4 linked regions of the Pelodiscus sinensis genome follow. The protein of the gene in region 2 purifies or fractionates together with the protein of the main gene of each other region. This does not show direct contact. Links are inferred from orthologs where the notes say so. Each region holds a gene or a part of one and is shown on either strand. Other genes may lie near its edges. The genes, in order: MTA2, SAP30, ARID4A and SAP130.

Evidence for each region.
Region 1: the proteins of SAP30 (region 2) and MTA2 purify together in Homo sapiens (affinity purification with mass spectrometry; 3 studies listed by BioGRID, with this or other methods). This does not show direct contact. The link is inferred for Pelodiscus sinensis from reciprocal best matches to the Homo sapiens genes SAP30 and MTA2.
Region 3: the proteins of SAP30 (region 2) and ARID4A purify together in Homo sapiens (affinity purification with mass spectrometry; 5 studies listed by BioGRID and IntAct, with this or other methods). This does not show direct contact. The link is inferred for Pelodiscus sinensis from reciprocal best matches to the Homo sapiens genes SAP30 and ARID4A.
Region 4: the proteins of SAP30 (region 2) and SAP130 purify together in Homo sapiens (affinity purification with mass spectrometry; 4 studies listed by BioGRID and IntAct, with this or other methods). This does not show direct contact. The link is inferred for Pelodiscus sinensis from reciprocal best matches to the Homo sapiens genes SAP30 and SAP130.

Annotation. Positions count from the first base shown.
Region 1 is NC_134721.1:36,551,838-36,559,837, forward strand, and holds the start of MTA2 (metastasis-associated protein MTA2), read right to left. Parts: upstream 3,004-8,000; 5' UTR 2,508-3,003; coding exon 2,480-2,507; intron 1-2,479. Other genes in the region: EML3 (echinoderm microtubule-associated protein-like 3), read right to left, coding at 4,198-4,395, 4,795-4,925, 5,084-5,182, 5,418-5,505, 5,771-5,868, 6,088-6,176, 6,484-6,551, 6,815-6,946 and 1 more. UniProt on the Homo sapiens protein: May function as a transcriptional coregulator. Acts as a component of the histone deacetylase NuRD complex which participates in the remodeling of chromatin.
Region 2 is NC_134715.1:68,330,408-68,337,553, reverse strand, and holds the start of SAP30 (histone deacetylase complex subunit SAP30), read right to left. Parts: upstream 3,015-7,146; 5' UTR 2,528-3,014; coding exon 2,204-2,527; intron 195-2,203; coding exon 72-194; intron 1-71. UniProt on the Homo sapiens protein: Involved in the functional recruitment of the Sin3-histone deacetylase complex (HDAC) to a specific subset of N-CoR corepressor complexes. Capable of transcription repression by N-CoR.
Region 3 is NC_134714.1:11,393,506-11,400,626, reverse strand, and holds the start of ARID4A (AT-rich interactive domain-containing protein 4A), read right to left. Parts: upstream 3,012-7,121; 5' UTR 2,873-3,011; intron 2,867-2,872; exon of another isoform or gene 2,715-2,866; intron 2,166-2,714; exon of another isoform or gene 1,779-2,165; intron 1,446-1,778; 5' UTR 1,379-1,445; coding exon 1,373-1,378; intron 1-1,372.
Region 4 is NC_134720.1:5,765,065-5,772,177, reverse strand, and holds the start of SAP130 (histone deacetylase complex subunit SAP130), read left to right. Parts: upstream 1-4,103; 5' UTR 4,104-4,242; exon of another isoform or gene 4,243-4,251; intron 4,252-5,245; 5' UTR 5,246-5,251; coding exon 5,252-5,363; intron 5,364-5,996; exon of another isoform or gene 5,997-6,108; coding exon of another isoform or gene 6,109-6,109; intron 6,110-6,881; coding exon 6,882-7,113. UniProt on the Homo sapiens protein: Acts as a transcriptional repressor. May function in the assembly and/or enzymatic activity of the mSin3A corepressor complex or in mediating interactions between the complex and other regulatory complexes.

The sequences.
Region 1 (8,000 bases), on a different chromosome or scaffold from region 2:
CCAATGCACTCCTCTTGTCCACAGCCATTTGCATTCTTGGGCAACATTGCGAGGCTGCAGCTCCCCAGGGCCGGGGCCAAGCCCAAGCCCAAACCCTACACCATTAGAACCCAGAGCCTTTCCATCACCACCTGCCAACCATCTGCTCGGACAGGGTCCGGTTTAACAGCAGTACTGCCAATGCCTGGTAACAGGTTCCAGCCTGGAACATCAATAGCTAAGCATGGGCAGCATTTACCAGGCTTGAGGGATAGCTGAGCCACATGCCCAGGCAGCATAACAGCCAGGTACTGGCGTGGGCATGGCATTGCCAGGACAGGCAGACAGCCTCCCACCTTCCAACGTAACCCAAACGTATGGTGATCTCAGTGCAAGATCATACCCCCTCATGGGACACACCCCAGAGTGGGAAGTGGGGAGGACATTATAAAATAGAGACCCTGAGAAAAACCCCACCCCACTGAAAGGGGCCAACCTTCTTGCTCCCTTCCCCTGAAGTGCCACACCCAAAGTGCAGCACCAAATGCTCATGGGCTTCTCAGCACATGGTCAAATGCCCAGTTTGAGCCAGGGAAGGGTCATGGTAGAAATCCCTCCCCCTCAAGCACCCTAAATCAGACACACCACCCCGGCCTCCTCAAGCAAACTCCACACAAGCCACCACCACCAATTGCAGTAAAACGAGATGTCCCACAACTACCTCCACCTCCCAGCACACTCCCCAACTGTTCCACACACACCATTCCCCACAGACTCTCAAACTGCCCCACACATAACCCACCCTCCCCAAGACCAGGCACATCCCCAGCCAGGCCTCTCTTTCCCACAGCCTTTAAACCCCACAACTGTCCCAGAACTACAGACACCTCAACCTGCCCTCCAATCTCCCCAACTCATGCCCCCAAACTGCCTCATCCACAGCCTGTGCAATAGCCTACCCACAACCAGACTGCCCCCAAACACCTGATAACCCACTTGGTCAACTGCCCCACTTACACCCTACAAGCAAACTGCAGACAACAAATAAACACCTCACTGACCCTCATTCTCTAATTGCTCCCCACCCCAGCAGCCATAACCACAGCCCTCCAAATCTTATACTCCATCGAGCCAGCCGACCCTTGTCCCCTGTGGGCCTTGCACCTGATGAATTCCCTTACCCCTCCCTATGTAACCAAACATGCTTTCCCCAAAGGACTTCCTCCACCACATAACCTGCCAGTTGCCCCCTCAACTTACCTCATTCCCAAATAACAAACCCAACCCACCAGCCAGACCCTCAAGTGCTCCATTTCCCCAGAGCCTCTGAACTTCTTCGTACCATGTAACCAGCTCCCTACACCACATTCTCCTGCCCTCACATAACCAGCCCATTATCCCATACTGCCATTGTCCACCTACCCCCCCCCCCCACAACCTGATGCCAACTGCCCCAGGCCTCCAGAGCCCGTGGACTCCCCATACCAGATGAAGCCATCTCACTACCCTAGATCACCCACATTCTAACAATCCTCCCAGTCCCCACATAACAAACCCACTGCTCACCACTCCCCTACACTATCCACACAGGGGTGCAGCATGTGGGGGGGGAGGGACGGCACCTTCCTCTAAGGAACTAAGGGGGTATCACCCCCCCCCCACACACACACACAGCCCATAAGCCCTGCAGGACAGGACAGCCCCTCCCCCCCAAAAAAAATCCGGTGGAGCGCGAGACACACCAACCTGTCTGACCCCACTGCCCTCCACAGACACACCTCCGGCCGAGCCACTGACACCCCCCCGGCTCGGTCAGGCCCCGGGAGCCCCCACACCAGCGTCAGCACCGCCGTGTCCTGCTGACTCCCCAAGCACGAACGCGCTCCCCCGGCTCACCGCCCAGCTCCCTCCGCTCGGTCCGGTCCTGCACTGCTCCTCCCCCACCCCCGCTCGGTCCAGTCCAGTCCGGTCCCGCACTACCCTCCCCACTCCCCTCCGTTCCAGCCCCGCTCTGCTTCCCCCCCCCCACTCAGTCCGGCCCCGCACTGCTCCCCCCGCTTTGCTTCCTCCCCCCCCGCTCAGTCCGGCCGGCCCCGCACTACCCCCCCCCGCAGCCCCGCACTGCTTCCTCTCCCCCCGCGCTCAGTCCGGCCGGCCCCGCACTACCCCCCCCCGCAGCCCCGCACTGCTTCCTCTCCCCCCGCGCTCAGTCCGGCCGGCTCCGCACTACCCCCGCCCCCCCCCACTCAGTCCGGCCCCGCACTGCTCCCCCCGCTCTGCTTCCTCTCCCCCCCCCCACGCTCAGTCCGGCCGGCCCCGCACTACCCCTCCACCTCCCCGCTCGGTCCGGCCCCGCACTGCTCCCCTCCGGTTCGGCTCGGTCCGGTCCGGCCCCACGCTGCCCCCCAGCTCGGTCCCGCACTGACCCCTCCCCCTCCCGGGTCCACCCGCCTTTGCCCAGCTCCGTCCCAGCCCGGGGCAGCGCCGGCCCGAGACTCACCCCCCACCCGGTACATATTGGCCGCCATGGCCCCGTCGCGCGATGGGGGGAAGGGCGGGGGCGTCTGCGTCCGGCTCCGCTCGGGCCCACGTTAGCCCCGCTCCCGGCCGCTCTTCATCTCCTCCCGCGCCGCCGCCTCCTCCTCCTCACGCAAGGCCGGGACCAGGAGACTTCGGGCGACTCCGGCAGCGCTTCGGTGGTTTCCGGAAAAGGATCGGCAAGACTCGGAAATATCCCGATGCGACTCCGGTAGCGCTTCGGTGGTTTCCGGAAAAGGATCGGCAAGACTCGGAAATACCCGATGAGACTCCGGCAGCGCTTCGGGATGTTCCGCGTGAGATCGAGTTTCTCCGGAACCGTTCGGGTACTTCCGAAAGCACCTGGCGAAGCTTCGGGCACCGTCGACTAAAGCCTCTCGGCGATCGGGTCCTTCCGGACAGTGACTCCAGATGGCCGGCGCCGAGCAGGACGTCGGGTAAATCCGGAAACTGAAACTTTCGGTTATTTCCGGACACGGTCTGCCCTGCTCGGGCCTTTTCGGAGGGAGCTTCAAGCCCTGGGTTTTTAACCCTTTCTTCTCCGAAGGGCTCAAGGTTGCCCCGCCCCCCGTTCAAGGGGCAATTCCCAACAGCCTCAACTGCACTAGAATTATTTCCATACATACAGGTGCAGTTTTAGACATGTTTAGACCAAAATAGCCACTCATTTACCCAAGAATTCACCACCTGCAGCGGAGTCCTACACCGAGGTGAGATGCAGCCAACTCTGGAGTGGAGCACCACTGCACTAATCCCAGTGTCCCAAAAGAGAGGTGGAAATGTTTTCTCTGTATTCCACTGGATTTAGGGAACTAAATCTCTCGTTTCCCCCTCGGAACAAAAGCCTCATTTGCTTCCCCTCACCCCCATTCTGAGGCTGTTAAATGTGGTCTTTGTGCCATCCTAATGCAGACTAGCCCCACACCCTGCTGCCCCTTGCATGCCTTCCTCTCCCCACCCCACTGCTGTGGCCCCTGCATACAACCTTCTGTCCAGCTGCCCCCTACCACTGTTATTTGCTTGCTCCCCACCCCTGGAAGGAAAGAGACGGGAGCCCAGCCCCTGATGCCAAGGCTTTATTGCTGCCTCTCACAGTGTTCAGCGTCTTGCTGCTCTGGCGCAGCTGGGAATGTAAACAAAGTGGGGAGAGCAGTGTCCTGCTTCTCCAGGCTTGGTCCCAGGTTTGGGGGCAGCCCTCAGGCCCCTAGAGAGGAGAGTGCCCCCAGGTGGACAGGTCCCATCACACATACACATTCTGGGAATGGGGCTACTGCTCCACCATGGGGAACAAGGGTGGGTATGGACAGCCCCAACCCTAAGGCCATGCTGCCTCCATTAACACATCCTGCAGTTCCCTGACCCATGAGTTCCCCTGCCAGACCCATCCCTTGCCTCCAAAGCAAGAGTCCCAATCCCAACACCCTCCCAGATGAGCCCCTGGGCCCCAGTGGTGGGAGCTGCCAACAGGCCCTTGGCCCTGCCTCACCACTCTGACCTGTACCAGGCCCTGAGCAGAATTTAGGCCTTTTCCCCAGTGTTAATGAATCAGGTCGCATTATTAGCATGTGTTAGTGCCAGGGGGTAGGGAACCCTCTGGCTGGGCCTCGCTCACTGAGATTCATGTGCCAGGGCTGTCCAGGCCTACAGGCAATGAGGCTTGGTCCCTGTAGCATCTCCGGCTCAGACACAGCCTCCTGCCTCCTGGGAAGATAGGGAAGCAGAAGAGAGCGAGCAGCTATGGGTGAGGCTGCCCCCCAGCACTCGCCACTGGAAGATGCTGGTGTCCTTGCCCCCCAGTGAGATCAGATAGCTGTCATCATTGGTAAAGCGCACGTTAGTCACATGGCTCCCATGGCCCCCATACATGTGGCTGGGCGCCTGCAAGAGAAAACAAGGAGTGGGGTCAGGGGTAGGGGCTACTGATGAAATCCCATCACCTCCAGGCTGTTCCCTAACCTCTGGTCCAGGCCCTTGGGCTCTGCCACTACACCCAGGACCTCCCAGAACCACCGTGATACCCAGATGAGACCCCCCTATTCTGCCCCAAACTCAGACAGAGATTCCCCTGCCCAAGATCCCATAGAGACTTCCTGATCCCCTGGGATGTCCCCATGTCAAAGACCCTCTGGGCATCTCTGGTCCCCAAACTCTCAGGGCAATACCCAGTGAATGAGCAGAAGAGCAAACAAAATCCCTAGTTAATCCTTCCCCTTGTGTGCCTCCTCTCATTTTGGCATGGGTTCAGGGCTTAAACTCCCCTATCCCTGCCAGTCTCACCTTGGCCCTGGCGCAGGGGTACTGGAACAGATGCACCTTGCAGAAGTCGTCTGCCACAGCGACAACACGCTCATTGTGGGAGCGGCACAGGGAGTTGATGTCTGTGCCATCTGAGCCGTCCGGCCACACACCTGCGGAGCAGATACAGGATATGCACTAGCTGTTAGTGCCTCTTCCTGACTGTGGCTCTTGGAACCCCTGGGTTCCTTCCCTCCCGGCTACACTTTTCTCCTTTCCCGTTCCCGACACTCATCCTCTCCCTACACACCCTATGGTTCCCAACCCTCACCAAAAACATGAAAGCCCAGCACACAGGTGTATGACGCCCACTCCCGGTCACGGCTCTCAAAGCGATTCCTCAGCAGCTTGCAGCCGCCAGCCACATCCCCTGCAAAGGAGGCAGAGACATGCAGGGTTAGGGTCAGCTGCAGTGACCGGCACTGCCACATGAAGGTGCAACTCCTAGCCTAGGCACCAGGGGACCACGCACAGCCTTGTCTCAGGGCACCAGAATTATCTCCCCCATGACAGATGCTTATGGATGGGCCCAGGCACAATGAGGAGGACGTACACCCCGGCACCAGGGTGAGGGGCTCCTGAGTACATGCCTTCCCTGCACTCACAGTAGAGGATCTCGTAGTCTCCTGAGTTGGACATGATGAACTTGCTGTCCTTGGACCAGTCCAGGTGGGTGATGAAGCTGGAGTGTCCCTGGAGCAAGAGGGAAGAAAATGGGACTTTAAAGCCAGGTACTCAAGAATCCCCTCCCCAGCCTGAGGTGCCTCCCAAGGATGCACAACCCAAGGGCTTGGAATCACACACCCCCGGCTCCCAGTACTTCCCCCATTCTCAGCCCCCCTGAAACTCTCTTCTCTTCTCTTCCCTCCCTTACCCTTGCCCCAGTAGCCCCTATCACTCCCAGCCTCCTTCTGACAACCCTCTCTTCTTGCCCCCCCTACAGCCAGCAGCGCCTCACCGTGCAGCGACCGAAGCGGCTGTACTTGCGCTCCCCCTCCCCCACGCTGTAGATGTAGATGAAGTTGTCATGGGAGCCAATGGCCAGGAACTCACCATCTGCAGGGGGGGGAAAGAGGGGTGGGATGGGGCCATCTGTGTGCAAAAGGGGGGGCAGTGGAGGGGGTGCAGGAATGGGGGAGAATGGGAGGAACTTGCTGTCTCAGCAACATGAGGAAAATGGGGGCTGGAGGGAGCCAGCGCTGCAGTGGGGGAGGAATCTAGTCAGAATGGGCCTGCTGGGGAGGGGAGCGGGGCAGGGAGGCATGAGGGTCTGACCTGGCGAATACCGCACCACCGAGAGCTGCTCGTTCCCATCCGAGCCCCATGACAGCACCTGCCGTGTCTCTGTGTCCAGCACCATCCACCTGGAGGCACAGGGCAGGGTCAGAGCTCCCAAGGTGCCAAACATGCAGAGGCACGCAGAGGACCGACCCCACCCCAGGGAACAGGGGCAACAGAGAGGAGGTCCGGCCTTGGGGGCAAACTCAGTGACCCCTTAATCCCTGGAGGGCCAGACTCAGGAAATGGGGGCCACAGCCCGAATCTCACGGTGTTGCTTGCAGGGCCACCAGCATCCGCCGTTCGCTGGGTGTGATTCCAATGGGGTGGGAAGGGCTGCCAAGCACCCCTAAGGGGCCAGAAAGGGAGTAATGGGGGGTGGTGGGGAGTTACCGTCCAGTGTTGAGTCCCACGGCCACCACCCTGCCACTGGGGTGGAAATCAGCACAGAGCCCAGTCTCCTAGAGGGGGAGAGATACACTGTAAGGTCATTGACCCTCTTCCCCCACGCTCCATCCCCTCAGGTGGTACCTCCAGGTGAGGCTCCAGGCCTTGCATCCCTCCCCCACCCCAGGCAGTACCTCCAGGTGACACTCAAGGCCACCGTAAGCCCCCCCATCCACCCCAGGTGGTATGTCTAGGGTATGGCTCCAGGCTGCCATGGGTTCCCCTTTCCCCTCCGGGCGGTACCTCCACGAGCTCCCCCATCCCCTCTGGGCCATACCTCCAGGGTGAGGCTCCAGGCCGCTGTATGCTCCCCGCTGTCCCACATGCAGACCTGCCTGTCATGCCCGCAGGTGAGGAAAAGGCTCCGTGAGGGGTGGGTGGCCAAGCCCCACAGCTCGTCCGTATGACCCTGCAACCAGGAAGAACCTGATAGAGGCAGACAGGGGCCTAGCTCACCCCACTGCATGCTGCTCCCCATCCCATCAGACCCCTTCTGCTTTCCCCAGCCCACCACTCTGCTGCACCCCCATACTATTCCCAAGGCCCCTCTTTCCCAAGCCATCCCATGGCCGTGCAGTTTCTGTAGCTGCCCAGAATCTAGCTCCCCACGCACCTGGACAATGGGGGTGAAGCCAGTGCCCAGGCTGCCCCTGAGCAGCGCGTTGCGCGTAGTCCCAACCAGCAGCTCGTCCCCGGGGCCCTCAGCGATGGTGCGCACAGCCCCAAACTGCTCCGGGATCTGGGGGCACAAGGGGCTGATTCATCTGGAGTCACAGATCCTCCCCACATGGCTCCTATAGACCCCTTCCCCTCCTGCACATACCCTTCCAGGGCCTCCTGCCATGCCTCCAATACACCCCTGCTGTCTGTGAACTCCCACCCTGATTTCTATAGTCCCCCAACCAGGCCCCCATACACCCCATAGCACCTCCAAACACCCTCTGCCTGCCCCTGTAATTCCCCCATCCTCACCTCAGAGATCCCCTCAAATACCCTCTGCCCACCCCTGCAGATCCTCCTCCACAGCCACTGCTGCTCCCTCACCAACCACTCCAAAACTCCCTGTCCACTCCCACCCACTATAGACCCCTCACCCCTCCAAATCTTCTTCACACACCTCTGAAGATTCCCACCCCATCCACTACAGCCCCCCATCAACACCCAAACACTCCCCGCCCACCCCCACGGATGCCCCACCCTCACCCACTGCAGATCTCTCATAACATCTAAACACCTTCCTCCCACCCCTCGCCAGCGGATCCCACAGGCAAATCCCCATGTCCAAGCCCAAGCGATCCCCTGCCCAACAGATCTCTCTGCCCAACCCCCTCCAACACTGGCACATTCTGGCCCCACCCCTACCTCCCACAATCCCGTGAATCCCCTTTGCTCAATCTCACCCGTCGCATGCAGATTCTACCCTGCCCCACACTTTGGATTGGAGCCAATTGACCCCATGCAGA
Region 2 (7,146 bases):
TGTATTAACAGACTTGGTGGCAATTAAGAACAAGCTTTATATGACAACTTCTAGGACAACTGTTCAGCTACCTCTGGAGTGTCGATGTCTTGCACTGGTGAGTCACCATCATCATCACTGCCTTTTCTCTTTCTTCTGTTCCGCACACTCTGAATTAAGTTTTTGTGGAAGTCACAAATGTAAAGATGTCTTGCCTAAAAATGTAGCAATGCATGTTTTAAATACAAATCCACATCCAGGAAATACATGATAATGTAAATTATACTTGTAGTAATTTATCATGAAGTGGATCCATCAAGAAGCTCTGGTGACATTACCTATGACTTTAAGAAAGCTGTTTCTACCAGAACCCATACTTAAAATTTGGTATGCTGAAAGTTACCACACGTATTTGGCTTAAAAAATCCCTCCTATCATTGTACTACTGCAGTGAACCAATTCAAAGTTGGTATTAACAGGCTGTAGAAAGAGCCAAGTACAGCTCTCTTGTTACTCATCAGAATACAGGAAATAGGATGCTAAAATTACTTTGCAATTATTTTAAATGAACTGCTATCTCACTTCACAACTCTCTTCCTTGGTTTTGCTTCCACCATCCAAGAAAACGCATTGTAAATAAAGTATGTGTATGTCTAGTTTTAAAATTTTCCTTTTTGTAGGAATCAAGCTCATTTTGAGAGGAAAGGCCTGTAGCGGTGACAAAGTATCTTTAAAAATCTGTGAATTTCTTTTACAGAGAAAATATACACATACACATAGGGCTACTGACTGTACATCAGTATCTCACATGATGATTGGAGCTGTGGGTGCACAGGTTGTGGGGAGGAGGATGGCAATCAAGCACTTAGAAAGTTAAATTTGGGATGATAAAAACAAATGAAAAACCTAAATGCAATTTAATTCAACATATAATCAGAAAAAATTGGGGGCCTAAGCTTTTCCTTTTGTTAATGCAGAAGAGCTTTTTTGCCCATTTACAATAGGCTTTAAGTTTACTTCACCAGCTCTCTCATAAACCATGATTCAAGAGAAAGCTCACAACAGCCAACAAAAGCATAAATATAAATTAGCAACCATTTTTCTCCAATCAGCATGAGTTTACTCAATCTCTTGTGGGTGGTAAGTGCAATAAGTGTATTAGAACCTTTCTTTGTGTCAGCATCTCCTAACATTTCTGCTCTGTGAAGTAAAAATAGATCGCCTTGGCAAATACTTGTGCATTTCTGACTGAGGAAACAAGTATTCATTAGAGAAGGAAGCCGGCAGACATTTGCTCTGCAGATAACACTGCTCCCGATCTTCGAAACGTATCTGCTACCAACGGGTATTTATTTCTCAGCACACACCAAGGAAGGGAGCCAGGAGCTCGTGTTGCCTGCACACGGTAACACACGCTCGTGGCGATTTCTCGTAGAGAGCAGTACGAAGAGCCTGATGGCTGCCAAACGGAAGACACGGTGGCCAAGAGAGACGCGCAGCATTACAACAGGCGGCGGAGCGGCCAAGTGTGCTGCTCTCACTAGAGTCAGCCACACAAACACGCATGGAGTCCCTGCTCTGGAACAGCTTGGAGGGGCGGCCGGGGGAGAGGGGAGTGCAGCCTCCAGCTTTCCCAGCAAACGGGGGCAGCCGGACAAACGGCCTCTCTCCGGACTGCCACCCTGATTTTTCCGGAGGGAGCAGAAGGGAAGATGAGAGGAGTCTCCTATCCCCCATCACTGCACAGAAGCAGTTTAAGCTTCACTCTTCCAGCTGACCGCACCAAGGGCAAACCTCAAACGATTTAGCAAAGAAGCTGCTGCCTAAAGTCTCACACTCACGGGGGGGAAGGGGAGGGAGGGAGTTTAAGCCTGTGCGGGAAAGACTCTTAAGGCCGGAGTGGGGCTCCGGGGAGGGGCGAGCGAGGGATTGTGCTGTGCTCCCGGACAGCTGCAACGCGGCGCGTGAAGAGAGACAACAGGACCCGCAAGTCGCTTCCCGATCCCACACCTGGGGGGAGCTCCTACCAGCGGCTGGGCTCGTTCCCTTGGGGGCGTTCGGGCCGGTGACCCCGCAGGAGCAGCCGTCACTGCCTGCCCTAATGCGAGAGGGGCGCATTCCCCGGCCGGCCCGGCCCTGACTGCCACTCACGCCCGCCCCGGGACACCCTGTCTCTGCCCCAGGGGCGCACAGCGGCGGCGGCGGGTTTCCAGTCCTCACTTACACTCTTGTCCAGCTCGATCTTCACCTTCTTCTGCGAGATGCTCTTCTGGATCCTCTTGCTGAAGCTGGCGTTGCCGGCGGCCCGGCTGCACCTCTCTCCTTCCTCTCGCAAGCAGCACAGCTGCCCGGCCCCAGGGCCCGCAGCGCCAGGGGGCCCCGCGGAGCCGGCGGCGGCGGCGGCACCTGCGGCAGGGCCGGGACCTAATCCCGGCGCCGGCACCTCCACGGTGGCGGCTGCATTGGCCACAACAGCAGCAACGACGGTGGTAGCGGCAGCGGCCTCCCCTCCTCTCTGGGTCACCTCCTCGGGGGCGAACCCGTTCATGGCCCCAGCAGCGTCCCTATCCCGGCGGAAGAAATCGCCGACCCGCCCGGGCTCCTCACCCGCCTGCGCTGCCCCTTTGTCCGGCAGAGGAGCAGGATCCGTCCTCGCCGCCTGGGCTGAATCAAACTTCCCCGCTGTCTGTGCGCTTGGCTGCAAGGGAGGGATTTAAACCTGCCCCATCAGCAATCGGCCCGACAGGCAGCGTCGCTGCAGGGGGCACGATCCTCCTCCCGGCCTGAGGGTCACCTCCGTCCCCGTGGCCCCCGGCAGACAGAGCCCCGCAACAGGGGGCACAGCCCCTCCCCCAAGGGCACACAAGGGCTCCTTCAAGGGGCACAGCGAGATCGCTGCTCGGCCCCCTCCACTCGGGGCCCTAGGCTGTTGGGGGGCTCCCAAAGGCGGCCAAGCGCCTCACTCTGCAAAAGCCACGTCCGTCCCCCGGGTCACCCCGCTTCCTCCTTCCCCCTCTGTCATGTGGAGACTTTTCAGCTGTTTCCTATGTAACAACAGCAGCACCCAGCCTGCGGCTCCGCTCCGCGATGCGCATGCGGCCTCCCGCCTCAAGGGGCTCATGGGCGCTGTAGTTTCTATCATTGCAGCGTCGGCAAGGGCGGGGAGGGCTGAAAAACTACAGCCCCTGAAATGCACCGCGCGAGCCGGGCTTGCGGGCCTGGAGGGCCGCTGTAGACGTTTGTAAGCCCGCCCCTCCCCTCTGCAATGTGATGGGGGCGGGGGGAAAGGGGGTGACTGAGCTCTTCGCCAGTGAACTGCCGCGTCTCAGCCTCCTCCTGGGTCTCCCTCGCGAGGGGGCGGGGACCGCAGGAGGCGGCTCCGCGCTGCGCTAGGCCCACTTCTCGCTCAAAGGACGGTCCGAGCGGCCGTTGAGATTTGAAATGCGCCTGTTTGGAAGCTGAAGCGGAGCCGCTCGCCCCAGCCCCGCCCATATCCCTCAGCGCCGCTGCCAAGGCGGCTCGGCCCAGCCCGCCCCATCTCTGCCCCCTTGGGTTGGTCTGACAGGCCGGGGGGAGATGCTGCGAGGCAGAATATTGGGGGAGCGAGCGAGGCCTTGCGTGAGAGGCGGGGAAACGCCTGGTACCACCAGGCAGCGTTGTCGCCTCTCCCCCTCGCCTCGGCCATGTTTGCGCGCGGACGCCTGGGCGGGCTGCAAAGCTCCCTTGCTGCGCGCGTCCAGGGACGCGAGAAAAGCGGTTCCCCTGCCCCTAGTTTACCACCGGTGGGGTTTTGTCTCCCACAAGGGCGCTGCGTGCCAGGATAAGCAGCTGCAAGCCGGAGGGCTCGGAGCGTGTTGTTGCAGCTGCGTGGCTTGCCGTTGGTGAGCGCGTTTCCCCCCAGGCCTGCCTGCCATGGCGCACAGAGCTAGCTCGCCGTGGCAGGCTTTTAGGCGTTTCTGCAAAATCTTATTTTCCTCTCCTTTTGTGACTCTTTTCTTTTGGGATAAAGGCTGGACTACATGTCCCGTTCACCCCTCAACTGCAGACGGGTGGTTCGGACGGGAGTGGTACAAGGAACTTGGGGTGGCACCTCTTCAAATGAGAGCTGGCTGACAGCTCTAAACTTAGCCTGGGATTTTTGCCTGTGTTTACTGAGAATAATTGGTCCTTGCTCTTTGTGTTGTTGATAGCTTTAGATATATAAACATTGGAAAGCAATTAGATAACACCATACAGGATGAAGAATAAGAGTTAATGTTTTTATAGTAAATATTTTATTAAAAAAGGCTTTGGTAGTAACAAACTTAGTTCATTTATTAGCCAGCATTTTTCCTGTATCTCCCTTCCTGGTGGTAGGACCATTTATTTTGCTGTAACAGTTTTCCCTATCACTAGTTTCCAGAACTTACAATTAAATTGTAAATGACCTCTCTATCATGCTTGACAATACTCTAACTCAGACCTGCCTTCAACAGGAGGAACAATTAAAATGGAGGTAATGAGCACAAAGGGTGAAAGCTCTTGTTCAAAACCTAGTTTCTAAACTGTATAGCAAAAGTACATAAGGTTAATAAACATAAGCATCCAACAGTTCAGCTCTCCCTGGTAGAGGGATAGAATGAAGAGCCAAACTTTGACCTATTTTTCTTGATGTGTTTGCAAAGTCCATGGTAATGAGTTTCCTCTCAGATATAGCTTTTATTTTAAAGCCCTGTGAAATTGGGAATCAAATAGTTAAATGCAACTAGGTCATTGAAACATTCATTCAGCTGTATTAATTACAGCATATTCAATAGTTACTGAATCAAAACAGGTGGAGTGCCAGATCAAGGGGTGATCAGAGAAGACATGTTCTGTATACGCTAGGGCTGTCTCTACATTGGCACAGTCTTGCGCAAAAGTAACCGCTTTTGCACAAAAACTTGCTGCCTGTCTATACTGGCTGTGAGTTCTTGCGCAAGAACACTGACCTAATGTATGAAATCAGTGCTGCTTGCTCAAGACCTATGATACTCCCACTCAGGAATAAGCCCTCTTGCACAACTGTTCTTGCACAAGAGGCCAGTGGAGACAGGCAACATGAATTTCATGTGCAAGAAAGCCCTATGGTTAAAATGGCCATCGGAGCTTTTTTGCACAAGAGGGCGTCTACACTGGCACGGATGCTCTTGCGCAAAAGCACATCTCTTGCGCAAAGACACATGCTGGTGTTGACGTTCTCTTCTGTAAGAGTTTTTGCGCAAGAACTCTTTTGCGGAAATCATGCCAGTGTAGACGTAGCCCAGGGCTACGTCTACACTGGCAGCTTCTTGCGGAAGAACTGTTTTGTGGAAGAGTTCTTGTGCAAAAAGTCTTCCACAAGAACGTGTCTACACTGGCATGTGCTTTTGCGCAAAAGCATCTATGGCAGTGTGGACGCTTTTTTGCTCAAGAAAGCTCTGATGGCCATTTTAGCCATAGGGGTTTCTTGTGCAAGAAATTCATGTTGCCTGTCTACACTGCCCTCTTGCGCAAGAGGGCTTAGTCCTTGTGGGAAGAGGAATAACTCTTCTGGAAGAAGCCCTGTTTTCTGACACTGTACTGTAAATTTACTTGCGCAATAACGCGTGTGCAGTGTAGATACCCAGCAAGTTTTTGCACAAGAACAAATGTTCTTGTGCAAGAAGCTGCCAGTATAGATGTAGCCTAGGATTCTGAGTCAGGAAACTGGATTATAACAGTTCGGCTGCATCTAGACTGGCATAATTTTGCTCAAATACTTTTAACTGAAAAGTTTTTCTGTTAAAAGTATTTGCACAAGAGAGCGTCTGTACTGGCATGTGCCTTTACGCAAAAGATTTGTTTTTGCGCAAAAGCATCTGTGCCAATGCAGATGCTCTCTTGTGCAAGAAAGCTCCGATGGCCATTTTAGCCATCGGGCTTTCTTGCGCAAGAAATTAACGTGGCTGTCTACACTGGCCCCCTTGCGCAAGAATACTTGCGCAAGAGGGCTTATCCCTGAGCAGGAACGTTGGAGTATTTGCGCAAGAACCACTGATTTTGTACATTACAAAGTCAGTGTTCTTGCGCAAATACTCGTGGCCAGTGTAGACAGGCGGCAAGATTTTGCGCAAAAGTGGCCGCTTTTGCGCAAAATCATGCCAGTCTAGTTGCACTGTTCCAGTCTGTAGTACACATGGAATTTTAATATGATTATATAACTTAATATTACAGAATATGGTTAAGGTCCTACCTAGACTGGAATTTGAAATTATTGCAGTTATATAACAACTGAAATTCAATTGGGCATGCAGACATATTATATAGAAGGGATATGTCAGAGTTAATAGGAAGCTATGTAACTCTAGTACAGTGGTTCCCAACTGGCAGTCCATAGCAGCTCTGAAGGCCAGGGCTGGAGTATACTACCCAGTGCCTCACCTCCCCCACAGTGGCTGTTGGGAGAAGTGTATCCTGCCCTGCCTTTCAGCCAACCAGCACTGGACGGGCAGGGTCTCCTGGATGCAGAAGAGCAGTTTGCTGCATGGTAGGCAGGGCCACATGGAGCCTGGCACGGCAGCCTTAGAACAGCTATGACCTGGGCAGCAGTGCTCATCTGGTGGTTGGGAGGCAATGCAGGGGTAGGTGATGGGGGTGGAGCTAGTGCTGGAGAGCTCTGGAGGTGGGGGGGGGGGGGGGGTTCTAAGAGGTAGGGGACTGGCACTGGCATCTCAGGGTGAAGCTAATACTGCTGGGCTGCAGTAATTGGTACTCAGTAAGCATCACCTGATAAGGGTGCTTATCAGGTAACTGATTAAGTGGTTACCCATTCACATCCCTAGCTAATATATGGGGTCAGAGTTTGAAAGTGAGATGGGTAAGCTGACAGAATTTCAGTTACAAAAATACAGGATTTCTTTGATGAAGTTTGAAGAAAGTTAAGATGATCTTAATGACCATGTTTTGAAGAAAAGCCATATCAGAGACCAGTATGTGGGCAGTTTGACCTGGTTAAAGTTAGAGCCCAGCTTAGTGACTAGAGTCAGAAATAGGAACCAGGAAATTAGTCAAGGATCAGAGCCTGAATCAGGAACCATCCAAGGGAGCAGAGCCTCAGCAGACTGAAGTGGGACAGGAACAAGGCGAGAGTATAGCTAGAAAGAAGACAACACAGGAATGATGACAGCT
Region 3 (7,121 bases), on a different chromosome or scaffold from region 2:
TTGCACACAGCCTTATCTTTCTTTACAACAAGATTTGACAGTGCAAGTAAAATGAGTGGTGAAGATTTTTCACATTTAATTATTTTCATGTCCCCAGTTTGCAAGAATGTACTAATAGTCATTAAATACTGAAATGCTATTTAAAATAGCAACTTTAAAAAAAAGAATTTAAATAACTGATGATGAAAAGTGAATAAGAACAAACAATAGTTATGGTTTGTTGCACTATTTTGCAGCATACACAGATCACTATGGCCCAAAGAAATACATCAGTTTTGCCAGTAAATGTCAGTGTATTTGGCTGGCTAAAAAGCTTACATCACACCGAGTTTATGGGTAAATTTTTTGCTCAAAGAATTCTGACCCTCAATTTTATCAGTCTGACGACTGTCTCAGGAATATCTGTTCAATAACCTCAAAGAGAACTGAAGCATATGTTTACAAATAGAGAAAGAAACATTAACATAAGGATGAATATCAACTTAATACATTCATATTGTATTGTTTACAGAAAAGCAATATTTCAATTGGAATGGAAGCTGCACCTCAGACAGCTGCAATTTCAAAATACATACAATAACCAAAACCTTTAGATTTCTGGTTTTTCTGTGAGGAAGAAAAAAAAGAAAAAAAAAGGCAGTTCATGGTGTGCTCCACATCAGATTTTCTGAAGGGAAAAACAGCAGCAACAGATCCTCAGAAAAGTTTGCTATAACCTTTCAAACAAGTATCAAATGTAATTTTTGTTCCTTGCAAGGTCTTTGTTAAGATTTATTTTTCTAAAAAAGATATGCAAGCTTACAATTTTAAGAACATCTGTCTGTACCTGAACATTATTATTGTACATTTTATTTCTACATTACTATGTTTAAAAAAAAACAGTCACAGTAAAAAACAATCAAGAAATGAAGAAATGCAATGACATATTTTGTGTTCAAATTATTTTTGCTCATCTCTGCATACAAGAAGTGCTTCCCTCCATGTGACTGATCTTGCAACTGGTAAGCTGTCTTTGCACTGTAAAAACTGAAACTGCTAAGGAAGGATAAAAACTGTGGTTTTGCAAACTCACAAAAGCTATAGCCAACACAGGAAGCATTTAAAAATAGTACTCCAAGTGACAAGTCAAAGCCATCTTATGTGTCCAGAGTAGTGTTACCACAGAGGTGAGGGATTGGGATTAGGTGCCCTGCACTGAGAGTGAAGAAATGGGATTTCATTCCATTCAACATGTGTGGATTTCCACAGCCAACTTTTACTTTGCTGTTGTTCAATGAAGATGCAGTGATTAAAAATACAGTGGCTGGTTCAAGTAGAAGAGACAGAGCACAAATGCTTCCCCCTCCTCCTCCATCCAAGGACCTAGACTTACCTTCATCTTTGAAGGTTATTTGAGGGATTCCAGCTCAAAGATATCTTCTGACCCTAATTATACTGAAAAAAACCTAGAAAACAAGAGAAGGAAGATGATCAGACACGTCTGCCAGCCTACAAAATTATTAAAAGGAAACAGCTTGATCTTAGGAAAGCTGCAATTCAGCTACAAGCATATGGTAGATTATTAAACACACTCTTCCACATTGTATACACACACCTCCCTCCACCCTAGGAGCACACCCACCCCTTACATCCCTAAAGGAATTCCCTCCACAGGAAGCCTCTGAGCCCCACTTGCTGCCCTGCATGTGCAGCTGGAGGGGATAGCAAGAAGTGCTGAAAAGGGGTCCTTGTTGGGAACAAATGGGCCCTTGGAGGTCTGGGCAAGGAGCCGCTACTACCTCCTTTTCCGTCCCGCTTCGGCTGCCTCCTGCTGCTCCTCAGCCCCTCCGTGTGTCAGGACAAGTCGCCATTGCTCCCTCCGCCTTTGCACCATGTCAGGCAAGAAGAGGCTCCACACACACGCAACGCAGGCAAAAATAATATTACTACTACTATTCCACTGGAGCTGTAAGCGGCTCGCAGCCCAGCTGCTGGGACAAGGGCAGCTCCTGCGCAGCAGAGACAAGGCCCTTGGCCGCCTTCTTCCCCTCTCAACTTTCTCAAGCACAAGAGGAGAGATTACTCAGGAAGGACCTGACCCTCTCCTCTCCACCCCGCCTCCTCCGGCTATAAACGGGGACCGAGGAGTTAGACACCCCCCCACACACACCCGCTGCCTCCCCGACTACCCTCCAGACCCCCCCCCCACACACACACACCTCCTCACAGCCCCTGCCTCCCAGCTACCGCTCGAGCCCCCCTCCCCGCCTCCCGCAAATACCCTTCGACCCAAGACACGACCCAAACCCCGCCGCTGCCGGGCCCCCCTCCGAGCACCCGCTCCCCGGGAGCGAGGGGCGGGGGCGTTCCGGCGGGGGGGAAGCGAGGTCCCTGGGAGCCGAGCAGGGGAGAGCCGAGAGGGGAACCTGCCGAGCCCACCCCGCGCCCGGAGGGGCTGAGGGGGGCGTTCCCCGTCCTCGGGGGATGGGGCGCCCCCGTGCTCCGGGCCGAGAAGGGGGGGTCCTCGGCCAGAGAGGGGAGGAATCGCCGGGCGAGCGGGGGTGGAAGTTCGGCGGGGGAAGGGAGTCCCCGCTCCCCCGGGGGGGGGGCCTCCTCCGTGACTGAGTGAGGGGGGCGTCGATCCGCCGGGTGAGGGGTCCCCGCTCTGCCTCCCCCGGGACGGCAGCAGAGTTGCGGCTGCGGAGCCGCTCGCTGCCCCTTCCCCCCCCCCCTACCTTTAAACTCGGAGCCAAGTCGGGATCTGCCGCGAGCCCGGCCCGGCCCCCAGCCCCGCTCGCGCCAGGCGCCTCAGAGACAGCGGTGGGCAGAGGCAGCGGCCGCTCGGCTCCGCTCCGCTCCACCCCCCTTCCAGCCCGGACTCGCACCGACTCACCAGCGATCAGCCAAATAACAAGCTGTTGAGCAGTAGCTGCCTTGCTCGAACTCCCATTGGCCCTTCGTGACGCCCAGGGGCTCTGCCCCGCCCGGATTGGGCGCCGCGCACAGCCCCCTCCCATTGGTCACAGGGTAACGGCGAGAGCCGATTGGTCAAAAGCCGACGCAGGTAAAGCCACGGAGACTTTTGATTGGTGAATCCGGGGGACTCGACTCAATTGGAAATTTCCGAAGTGAAGTAATCGTTTGCCTCACGCTGATTGGTGCAAACTGGATCCGGATGTAGCTCTGCCTTGCACGATTGGCCAGCGTGAGGGCCAGGAAGAGAGGCGGGGCGATGTGATTGGTGCGGACTGCTTCATAGGAATGCAACGGGGGCGAGGCGGAGCTAGAAGCCTGCAGTAGCGACGGTTGCATAGTTGCGTACCGCGCATGCGCCGCGGTGGGCCTCTCGGGCGCCATTTTGTACGATGTTCTTTCCCATTTTAGGCGGGGAGGACGGGAGCGGGAGTGGTCTCTGCGCTCTCTGGGGGGGAGGCCTGCCCTCGTCCCAAGGGCGAGGGGGCGGCCGGGGCTCCGTGGGACTTACGGCTGCAGACCGTCTTCTCTCCCTTCGGCCGGCGAAGTGGCTGGACTAGTAGCGAGGGGGGAGCCTCTTCCCTTCCTCAGCGCGGTGATGGCGCAGCAGCTGGGGGAGGGGGAAGCTCGGCGAGGCCGACCCCGGAAGTGAAGGGACCTCTGAGGAGCCGCTGGCGGCGGCAGCAGAGGAGGAGCTCGGTGAGAGGGGAGGTGGCAGCCGCCCGCGGTGCTGGCTGGGCCCAGGAGGCGGCGGAGTAAGCCGGTCGGCGCTGCCCCGTGGGGCTTGGGGTTCGCCGCCCCGGCGGGGAGCGAGGCCTGTCGGGCCGCGGCGCCGCTGGAGCGCGCGGGCAGCCCCCGGCTGCGCTTCCAGGAGCGCGTGGACGCTGAAAGCTGCAGCTCGTCACCTCGACGTGGGGCGGGAGCGCCCCAGCGGCAGCCGGCGCGCGGCTCCGAGAGGGTGGGTAGAGCTCGGAGGAGCTGCCTGTCCCGCGGGCATAGTGGTGGTTTGGGAGCTCGCCAGCTGCTGGTTTCAGACGCAGCCGCGTTATTGCACGTGCTGTCGGCCAGTTTCCTACGTGTTGCCCTTGGAACCAGGGCACCAGGGCGGTTGCGTGTGCGCTGTCTCAGTCATACTTATGGTAGGGAGGGGAAGCGTGTTTTGCCTCCGAGGCCGTTTTTCTTGGGGCTGAGAGCTTTTGACCAGTCCAAAGGCAGCTCAGTTTCCTCTACACTAAATAGCAAGCGGTGCGGCTTTTCATGTTTACGTCATTGACTGTTGTTAAAGGGTAGGGACAGGGAAGCTACCCTAATTTGGTGTTGCTGCCAGGAGTATTGGGGTGGGGGTTGTTCCTGGGATAAGGAACTGAACTGACATCTTAGGCTGCCTTTACACTGGTACTTTCATTGTTAAAGCTCTTGTTGCTTAGAAGTGTGAAACTTCACTCTGAACAAAGTTTTAATGATGGAAAAACGTCTTCATGTGGGCACCATTTCATTGGTGGTGGCAGCATTTTCTGCTACAAAACTACCACCCGTTGTTGGAAGTGGTTTTATTGTGTCAGTAGGAGAGGGCTCTCAAATGATAAAAAGCAGCTGTACAGTGCAGCTTACCATGGTTCTGCTGCAGTGGCACAGCCATGTTATCCTGAGAAGCACAGAGCAGACAGCTTAGTTGTACTAATACTCTTTAGATGGCAATGAAATGAAAGGTTGTATTTTCTGCACCCTTAAGTCAAGTTTGGAGTGAATGTTGTCATAAACTGGTTATTTGGAACACTTTCATTTCCTTGGAAACACCAGAATTATTTTGACTCGTTTTATTAGGGGTCACTAACACTTATTGTGTACCAGGAAACTAGATCCATATAACTCTGTTGCTCAGGGGTGTGAAAATCCATATCCTTGGAGCAGTGTTGTTACACCAACTTGACCCATTGTATAGACATGGGAGAATTCTCTTGTCAGCCTAGCTACTGCATCTTGAAGTGGATTACCTATGCTGAAGGGAGAACCTTTTGCTTTGACAGTAGTCATCCACACACCTCATTTTGAACTGAAAGTACACAATCAGCAGCCAAAACAAAAAAACACCATACAGTACTATGCTCTGTATTAAACATAAACTACTAAAGGGAATGTGTAATAAAAAAATACAAAGAGAACTCTTCATTTAAATTAAGGTAGTTAAAAGTAGCATTCCATCTGCATATTACACTTTCAAAGCTGTATTAATCAGTTGTAAACTTTTGAAAACACAAACATTTTATTCAGAGTTAGCAACAACATACATTCCTGAGGCATTTGTAACATTCTAGTGTAGTTCTGTAACTTGTTTTTGGCTGCTGTCCATGTAGTCAATGAACTTGCAAAATGCTGTGTGCATGTGTATACCTGTTAAGCTACCTGAATCAATTCATATTTAATTCCAACAAAGTAGATTTTTTTAAAAATAAACTTACTTTACTTTTAAATGTGTAAAGCATTTTATGGCTTCATATATTAACTTTAATAGATAAAGCACTAAACTGAAAGTCAAGCTATAATGTGAAGTGCTGTCATCACTAAACCTGCTTGAGAGCTAAATGTAATTTTATTAAATGTTTTGCATAATAAACTTGACTTGAGAACACTCCTTCAACCTTCTGTCTAGTGCTTTAGACTCCCATCTTGCAGTGGGCTCTGGTTGCAGGAGTTCACCATGCAGAGTTTATAGAAAGATCAGAGTTCCAGAGATGACCATTATATGCTGAATGCTGCCAGAGGGGCTTGATACCTAATAACCAGCTTTCAAGTCTGTTCTAAAGATTTTGGTTTGTATTGGATCTGAAGCATTAGCAAGACCTGACAAAGGAAAAGTTTCCTAGTTAGGCAGTGTTGCATAGTTTGGATATGCTTTAGGTACTTCAGTAGGGGATAAAAGCTGGTTTTCCCTAGCATCATCGCTGTCATGGAGGGGAACAGGAGGCAATGAGGCTCTGCCCTTTCAATGTAGGAAGAGCCACCTGGCACAGCAGTGTTAACTCCTGGGGGTGGTGCCAGCTGGGATGCCAGGCTTCTCCTACACTTAAACTGCAGAACTGCAGTGGGAGTAGTGAGCACCCTCCCCCTTATCTACTAACAGTTCTGCAGGCTGAATGTCATTGTTTTAAAATCTGACCATTTGGGATAAGGGACTTTGGTTTTTGTCACTTTTCACTTACCTCAGGACAATTTGTTCCCCTCCTCACTTTCTAAAAATGAGGCAAAGAACTGAGAAATCAAATTAGGACAAATTTCTGAAGCTTTCCTTTAGTTACTCCTTGGAGCTTTGCTGTCTTGGACAATTACACAATATGCTTTCTTTTTTATTGAACTGATTATGGACTCTATAGCTATATTAGCAGAGACTTCTATAAGCAATGCCACTGTTTAAATTATTTTTTTAGATTTCCACTTTTGTGTTCAGGCCTAACCCCCCCCCCTCCCCCCCCCCCCCACACACACATTTTAGGCCATCCTACTTAAAAGACTTTCTGGTGGGTTCTACAATTTGTTTCTGTATGTTTTTATTTTAAAGCAAAAAACCCACTTTGCTATATAACTGCAGATCTTTCAAATCTTTGCCACTTCTGAATGCATGGAGGTATGTTGCATGAATTGAGGAAAACAGTCTACTACATAATTCTGTATGCAAGCTATGTAAACTAGTGATGAGGGCCAATATTGGTGCTTGTAAGATGTGTTCTAAAAGCTTGAGCTTTTAAAAATTATAATGTCTTTGCATCTAATCTTGATTCTTACTACAAATTGTTTAATCTGGTAGAAATGAACTTGTGCCTCATGAAGAAAATTTTTTGATTCAATTAAAATATGTACCGCACATACCATGAATTTCAGAAGTCTTCTGTTGCTTGATTTGGATGTAAACATACTCACTTGTGTATTGTAACAGCTGGTGCTGAGCAACTGCATTTCCTGTTACCCGGGGTTGGATTTGTTAGTGTTCAAAATATCTAAAACAGAGGCCACACCTACTTGGCGGCTTAAATTCTGGCATCCACCTTTGAGGGACATGGTTTGTCTTTATTTTCTAGTTTTTCTTAGATAAGAAGCAAACCAATACTATAAAACTGCTTCACACAATTTCAGAGCTAAAATTATTTCACTGGGATGGCAGAAGAGAAATCCTG
Region 4 (7,113 bases), on a different chromosome or scaffold from region 2:
AGTCGGACATCGCACAACCTAGTTTAGATTGAAGAACACAATCACATTACTTTTTCCTTAGATCATTAGTACTCCAAGGGAACAGAGTTCACCTTTCCACAGCGAATATATATTTTCTTAATTTTATAAATCATGAAATTGTATTTCAATAGTCAATGTCTTTCTTTCTGAATTACTGTCAAATCTTTACATACCTAATCGACAATGTCTCTCATCATCCCTGGCCAATAGTATTTTGAAGTCATGATATTCCTAGTTTTGAATATTCCTTCATGTCCACCCATGAAACTGTCATGATACCGTTCAAAAAGTGTCCGTGCTTCTTTCATGGTATGCACAACGATAACCTTTCTTCCTTTGGCTGAATGGTACAATGTGCCATCTGTTGAATATAGAACATGGATCAAAGAGGATGAGTAAGGTGATTGCCTGCTGCAACAACCAATGTTACATCTCTGTTAAGCATCTTCCCCTGTATCTCATTTCCTGTTCACTCATTGGTATTGAAAAATTATACAAGACACACATAGCAAGGAAATCTATACACTGTATACTTCGTAATTGTGGGAGTACAAGGTGTGACTTTCAGTGTATGATTATGATTATTTATTTGTTTTGTAAATTAGAAATCATTGCTCACTGACCAGATAGTGACTGCTGTTGGTGCCTTGCATCACAAAGGAGAATATTCATAAGACATGAAGAACAGTGATAATTTTAATTTTCAAAGAATTATAATTCTTACTAATTTATAAGGTAACTGACCAATATTTTTCATGTATGCATAGATAGCAATATAATTTTTAAATGAACTGTGAATGAAGGTAATGCTGACAATCACAGTAACAGTGAAGGTAAGGTAAACATTCCAAATAATCCCAGTGTTGGGACAGCAGTACAATCCTGTACAGCATGTATCATCCATTGTAATGTGATTATTCTATTAAAAAAAGGATTCCTTGCCTTCCAAAGAGAATCTACTAGCAAATCTTCGAAGGTTCAATCGTCCAGCCTTATTCATTCCTTCAGGATATGTGTTACTCGTTATGTATGCCAAAACATTTTTAATGTTGTCCTCAAAACATTTCCCTGAGAATTGTTCAGAACAGGAAACAGCTAGTGAATTGGAAAATGGGAAAAGCAATCCATATAACAGTCAGTTCAAGTAGAAAATATGAGATCTACATTGCGTACATATAAGCAACGTAAAACAATATTAACAAGGCCTGATTGTCAAGCCAGTGACAACAGACAAATTAATTTAAGGAACATGCATAATTCTCCTGAATGTATGTGTTACCAAAGAAGGATGTATTCCATCAATGATGATCTAATGTTTTTTGAGATTGATATCACCTAGATCCTTGATTATAGTCATTGCTTGACAAATAATTGAAAACACTACTTGACAGACAAAAAAGGGACTGAACACCCCAAGTTAATAAATTCCGACTAATAATAAGAACAGTAATTGCTAATACGTTATTAATAAAATATCCTCCCTGTTAGCAATGCATGTATTATAAACTTCAACTTTTTCCCCTCTGCTTCCATGTCTCCTCCCATTGCTCCAGTAGCTACCCTAGTGACTGCTGCCTCCTAACTCCTAAAACTCATGGTTCATAAAGCAAATGAATGCACAATAAAACACTTTTTTATGCATATTGGACAAGTAAACGTACCTTCCATAATGATGTGTGTAGTAGAAGAAACTTTTTGCTTGTTGAAAATATATGGGGAACAGATACTGTGGAAAAAGTATTAAGGATGTGAATTAAAAGAAACACCTAGAACATATACATATGAGTATCACTTGATACTCAGTACTGCAATTAAACAATCATTTAACAGAAATTTTAATTGTTAAAATTAATATATTGTAACTAGATTATCGAGTAAATTGTATATCACTGTAATGGCTCTGAGGTTGTGCACAGAATTGGTCCCTGTTACAGATATAGGAATGGGGTGAGCTTAGCAATTATATCATTGTCCTGCTTGTAGTTACTTATGGTCTCATAGGGAACATATTTTTCAACGTTGATAATTCACCACCACACTGTAGCTCTATTGCAGGAACTAGGTTACTCAAGGTTGTTATATTCCAAACTTTGAAACACACACAGACACTGCCACCCACTAACACAGAACAACTCAGAGTATTGTGTAATCATCACTCTCAGTGTGACGCATCATGGACTCTGCATGCTGTGTTTAACAGCAATGCCACACTGCACCAACTATGCTTACAGAGGTAGTTTGAGGTGGGGGAATGAGAAAGAGAGAGAGGGAACTCACCACTCTGCGGAGCTGTACACTGATCAGGGTTCCCAGATGGTGAAGGTATCTATGTGTCCAGATGGTTGAAGGAAAGCACAGCAGAAGCCACAAAACGATCAGAAAGGAGATGGTGTTGCTCTCTCAATGAAGCTTCTCCAGTATAAAACTCACTATGAACAAAAGTTTCACCAAGGCTTAGATAGGAGAATACTTGTAACATAAACAGAGGTGTGAGCAAAGGGAATGTTTTTCCTTGATGGAGGTCACAAAGCAGCTAGGCAGTTTTAGTGTTTTGGATGTCAATAGGATCATTACTATCATTGGTAAGATACTGAAGAATGAGGATGTTAGCAGCACTGGCTTCAGAATCTGATTGATCTGAAATTCCACATGAGAAATGCACCCCTCCTGCACCCAAACTCCATCCCAGATCCTGAGCACCAAACATGGCCAAGTATCGGAGGGGTAGCCGTGTTAGTCTTAATCTGAAAAATCGTTGAGGAGTCCTGTGGCACTATCTTCAGTTCGTCTATAAGGTGCCACAGGACTCCTCGCCCACATGGCCAAGTGAAACTTTTGTGATTCCTCTGATACTTGGCCATGTTTGGTGCTCAGGATCTGGGATGGAGTTTGGGTGCAGGAGGGGTGCATGCTAAGGGGAGTTTGGGGGACGGGTGTGGGCTCTGCCATGGGTCAGGAGATTGCAGTACAGGAGAGGGTGTGGATGGGAGGGACTTTAGCACATCAGCACAGTACACGAGAAAGGAGATGCAGTGACTTCAGATAGACATAGAAACTAAGAGAAAACTATTAAATACTCCAAAAGCAAGAGGCAGAGTTTGAGACAGGAACTGTCTGTAGAATATTTCACACTTGTACACATACAGAGGAAGCATTGACCATCTAGGAATTGGGAAGCCGGTGCCTTTAAGAACTCAAGCCCAGGAGCCCCCCCCCTTCCTCCCCTCGGGGCTGACAGGCAGCATCCAGGGAAAAGAAAAAAAGAAAAAAAAAAAAAGACTTTGCACCCCTGGCAAAACGATATTTACAAGGACATCAGGTGGCTCGTCCCGCAGGGTGACTGTTCCTACCTCTCCCCCTCCCGAAATGGGGGTTTTGTCCACGCACAGGGTCTGGCACTGTTCCCCCCGCCCGGGGTTAATCACGGCTACCCCCCCACCCCCGATTTTTCAAATTTCGCTCCTCTTCTGCCGCTAAAAAAAGCAGCTTGATCCCCCCAGCCAGTAAATTTTTGCCCCCTGATCAGACCATGACCCACACCCCGTTGAAATTCGCCCCCAATAATCATGTTAAACCCCTCCAAAGAGGAGGGCGCAAATCCTACAAGCCCTGGGGGCAGAGAGGGCAGCGGCTCCAGCAAGGCCACTGAGTTTGCTCAGTTCGGGTGCGCACGCTCAGTGCACCCAAACTCGCAAATGTGGAGTAGCGTTCTGCTCGCTGCACCGGCCGGGCAGAGCAAGAGCTCGCCGCTCGTGCCGCCGGGGGAGACACCGCACGCGCTCGAGCTGCAGGCCAGAGCAACAGGCTCAGCGACACACGAACCCTGCCACGCTAAACTCCGCCCCCCAACCCCGATCTCGCGAGATTACCTTGTTCTCCTCTTCCTCCCGATCCGCATGATATTTCCCTTTAGGCCCAGAATCGCGGCTGTCTTGGCCAATCGCTGCTCAAGGTCTGGCCCCGCCTTCTTCCGCGTGCCGGCGAGATTATCCCTGAAGCGCTCTCGGGTTAAACTACTTTTCCCAGAAGCCCTTTCGATGCCGCCGTTTCAACCCAGATTGGGCGGGGTCACGCGTTGTGGGCGGCACCAACCGGAGCCAATCAGGCGGAGGGTGGCTGCGGCGGTGGAAGGAGAGAGCTTGAGTCCGAGCATTGGTGTCAGCGGGAGAAACGGATTCGCAGGCGGCTGCGCGAGGCCCCAGCGCGCGCACGGGACAGCAGGTAGCCCAGGTCAGGGACGGCTCCGCGTGCCGCTTGGGCGGGCGGGCCAAAAAGGGGGGGGGTCTCGGAGGCGGGCTCCGGATCAGACCCGGCGGCAGAGGATCGCGGGAGGCTGGACGGAGGGGAGGAAACCCGACGGTGGTTTCTCAAGGGCTAGGAGCGAGGGGCTACTTCTCCGGGGGCGGGGCGCTTCTTCCAGCCGCCCCATAGGTGCCAATGGCTTGTTGGTGGCCGTTGCGCTTTATTGCTTGTGAACATCCGGGCTCTGCGCGTCCCTCACAGCGAGGTGGGTTGGGACTTGGCGTGGACAATTGCTCCCTATTGGCCAGTGCGTTCTTATCCTATTGGCTAGCTCTCTCATGAGGTCACTAGTGGGCTGGGCTCTCGATTGGTTGAGCGCACGAGCCTAAATCTGCGTTCGATTGGCTCGTGGCCCAGCTTGACCTTGGATTGGTACAGGGCTATGACGTAGTCTCCTTTATGCCACCCAATCAGCGAAGGGGCTAGTAGCCGGTTTATGGGGCTCTTGGTGCGAGGGGGGGGAAGTGGGTACTTCGCGCGCGAGCGCGGGGGGGGGATACCTGAGGAGCTGGTGCCCATTGCAGGAGGCGGTCTGGTTGCTGTGGCACAGCCTCAGGGTGATGCTGTGCCGTGCCTAGCGCGCTGCCCTGGTCCCTGCAGTGCGCCCTGAAGAAACATCCCTCTCCCTTCCACGTCTGGTCTCTGTCATCCACAACCCAGAGCAGCACCGCCCTGCCGGGTATCAGACTGTGGGAGCGTTGGGCCCTGCTTTCCACCTTCCTTTACCAAGTGATAACGTGTCTGCTTTCAAACCAGCTTTTCCCATTAAAATGCATGCCCCTTGTTCCATGGGGCTATGTTACAAATTGTCACCTCATTCCCTGCATGATAGGAGAGCGATCACATCTCTTCAAGTGTGAGCGTCTTAGGCTGAACATATTGCCAGGATTATGTTGCTTACAATTTTCATCACATTGCGCAGGTGGAAATGAGTTCTCAGCAGTTTCCCCGTTCTGGAGCCCCTCCTGCAGGACTAGGACAAGCACCACCCCCAATTTCAAACAGTGGATCTACAGGGCTGATAAACCCAACAACCACAGGTAAAACAGCTATGGAAGATTCATTTTTCCTACCAAAACAATTTCATTCTGAGGAAGTTTGAGACCGTTTGCTGCATGCTCTGCAGAACTGTATTAAGATGATTGGATGTTTAAACACATCCAAGACAGACATGACTCAAATGCTGATATAAATAGGTATGTTAATTTGAAGAATTGTAGTAAGCTCTTTTTTCACACCCCACATGTTGTACCGGATAAGTGTGGGCGGGGAATATTCAAGTTGCCTTAGAAAAACAATGTTAGCAAAAACATTTTGACTGTTTAGAAATCATCTAAAAAGTAAAGTATAGTTGTTGTACAAGATATTAATTGGCCTTTCTGTTGGGGAGGGGAGAATTGCAAAGACATCACAGGTAGGTGGAAACTAGGGAGTGGCTTCAGAACAAACTATACACCCATGAACATAGGCTGTGTTCACCTATAAATAGAAGTGCATGATTAGCTGATGTATTAAAGGGATATTGTCAGAAAGTGGATTAAAATGGTTTGTCAATATTCCTTTAATTAATTGCTAAATGAGGGTATGTATCTGATCATTTTCAAGCCCGTGTTAGAAATACCTGTTACTGTTTCATTATCTCCATAACTCTTGATTGGTGTTTGATGTCTTAGGTCCCAATTCTGCAATGAGATCTGTGCTACCAGATGCCTGCCCCGGGGACCTGGAGCTCATTGCAGGATCAGGGCCTGAGTAGTGAGTTGCCACATTACTGATGCCTCCAGCAGTAAGTCAATATGATCTTATAGAGTAAGATGGAAGGAAGCATGTTTTTAGAATTCAAATTCATAATTATGGTAGGAGATTCTGAGAGAAGTAAGTATAAAACAAATTCTAGGTAGGTTTTGATTGCCCTAATAATCGTGTTTAAAACACAGTTTACAGCTGAGCTTCCTGTGCTCTTAAGAATTTATGAGGTGGAAATAAGGTAGAAATTCCAATTTTAGTCTAATTATCACTGTCCAATGGGGCAGCTTGTGTTCTGTTTTTGTAGATTTTGCTTTGATGATTTATTTTTATTTTTAATTGGAGAAAGTAGTTAGACAGTCTTGCATTTAGTGAATTATTTAATAAAAAAAAAATTGCATACATGCCATGAGGCCTTAGTCATTGTTGGATCGGATGGTCTCAATCAGTTTATTTTGTTACTATGAATTAGATTAAAAAGAGGCTACAGTTAGAGGTTTATTTTAAGAAGGATGATTGTGTCTTGTCAGTGACTTGTGTTAGACCATGATGTGTGGAGATAATCCTTACGGCTCAAAGAGGAATACAGAGCACACTTTGCAAGAGGATTAATGACTTCTGGAGACTTTTGTTTTTCAAGCAGGTTTATATTATACCAGGATTAGTAATGTCTCTTGTGCAGGAGGTTTTAAACAAACTGCCTTTGTATGTGTACATTTTGCACTCAATTTGAGGGCTTGTTGGCAATGAGTGCATACTTCTTTTCCATTTGTATCCTTTTCCTTAGAGTTCCTTTTTTCTTTCCTCACCAGTGAGTGATGAATCTAATCGAGAGTCAGAAATTGGTCCCAGAGAGCACATGGGCCCCAGTGGCTCTCTACAGTCTCGTGAAGAGAAACAGGAACCGGTGGTTGTTCGGCCTTACCCACAGGTTCAGATGTTGACACAACACCATCCTGTCCAATCTGGTGCTGCCGTTACAGTGACAGCTCCACCAGCACATCTGACTCCAGCAGTGCCACTTTCCTTTTCAGAGGGACTTAT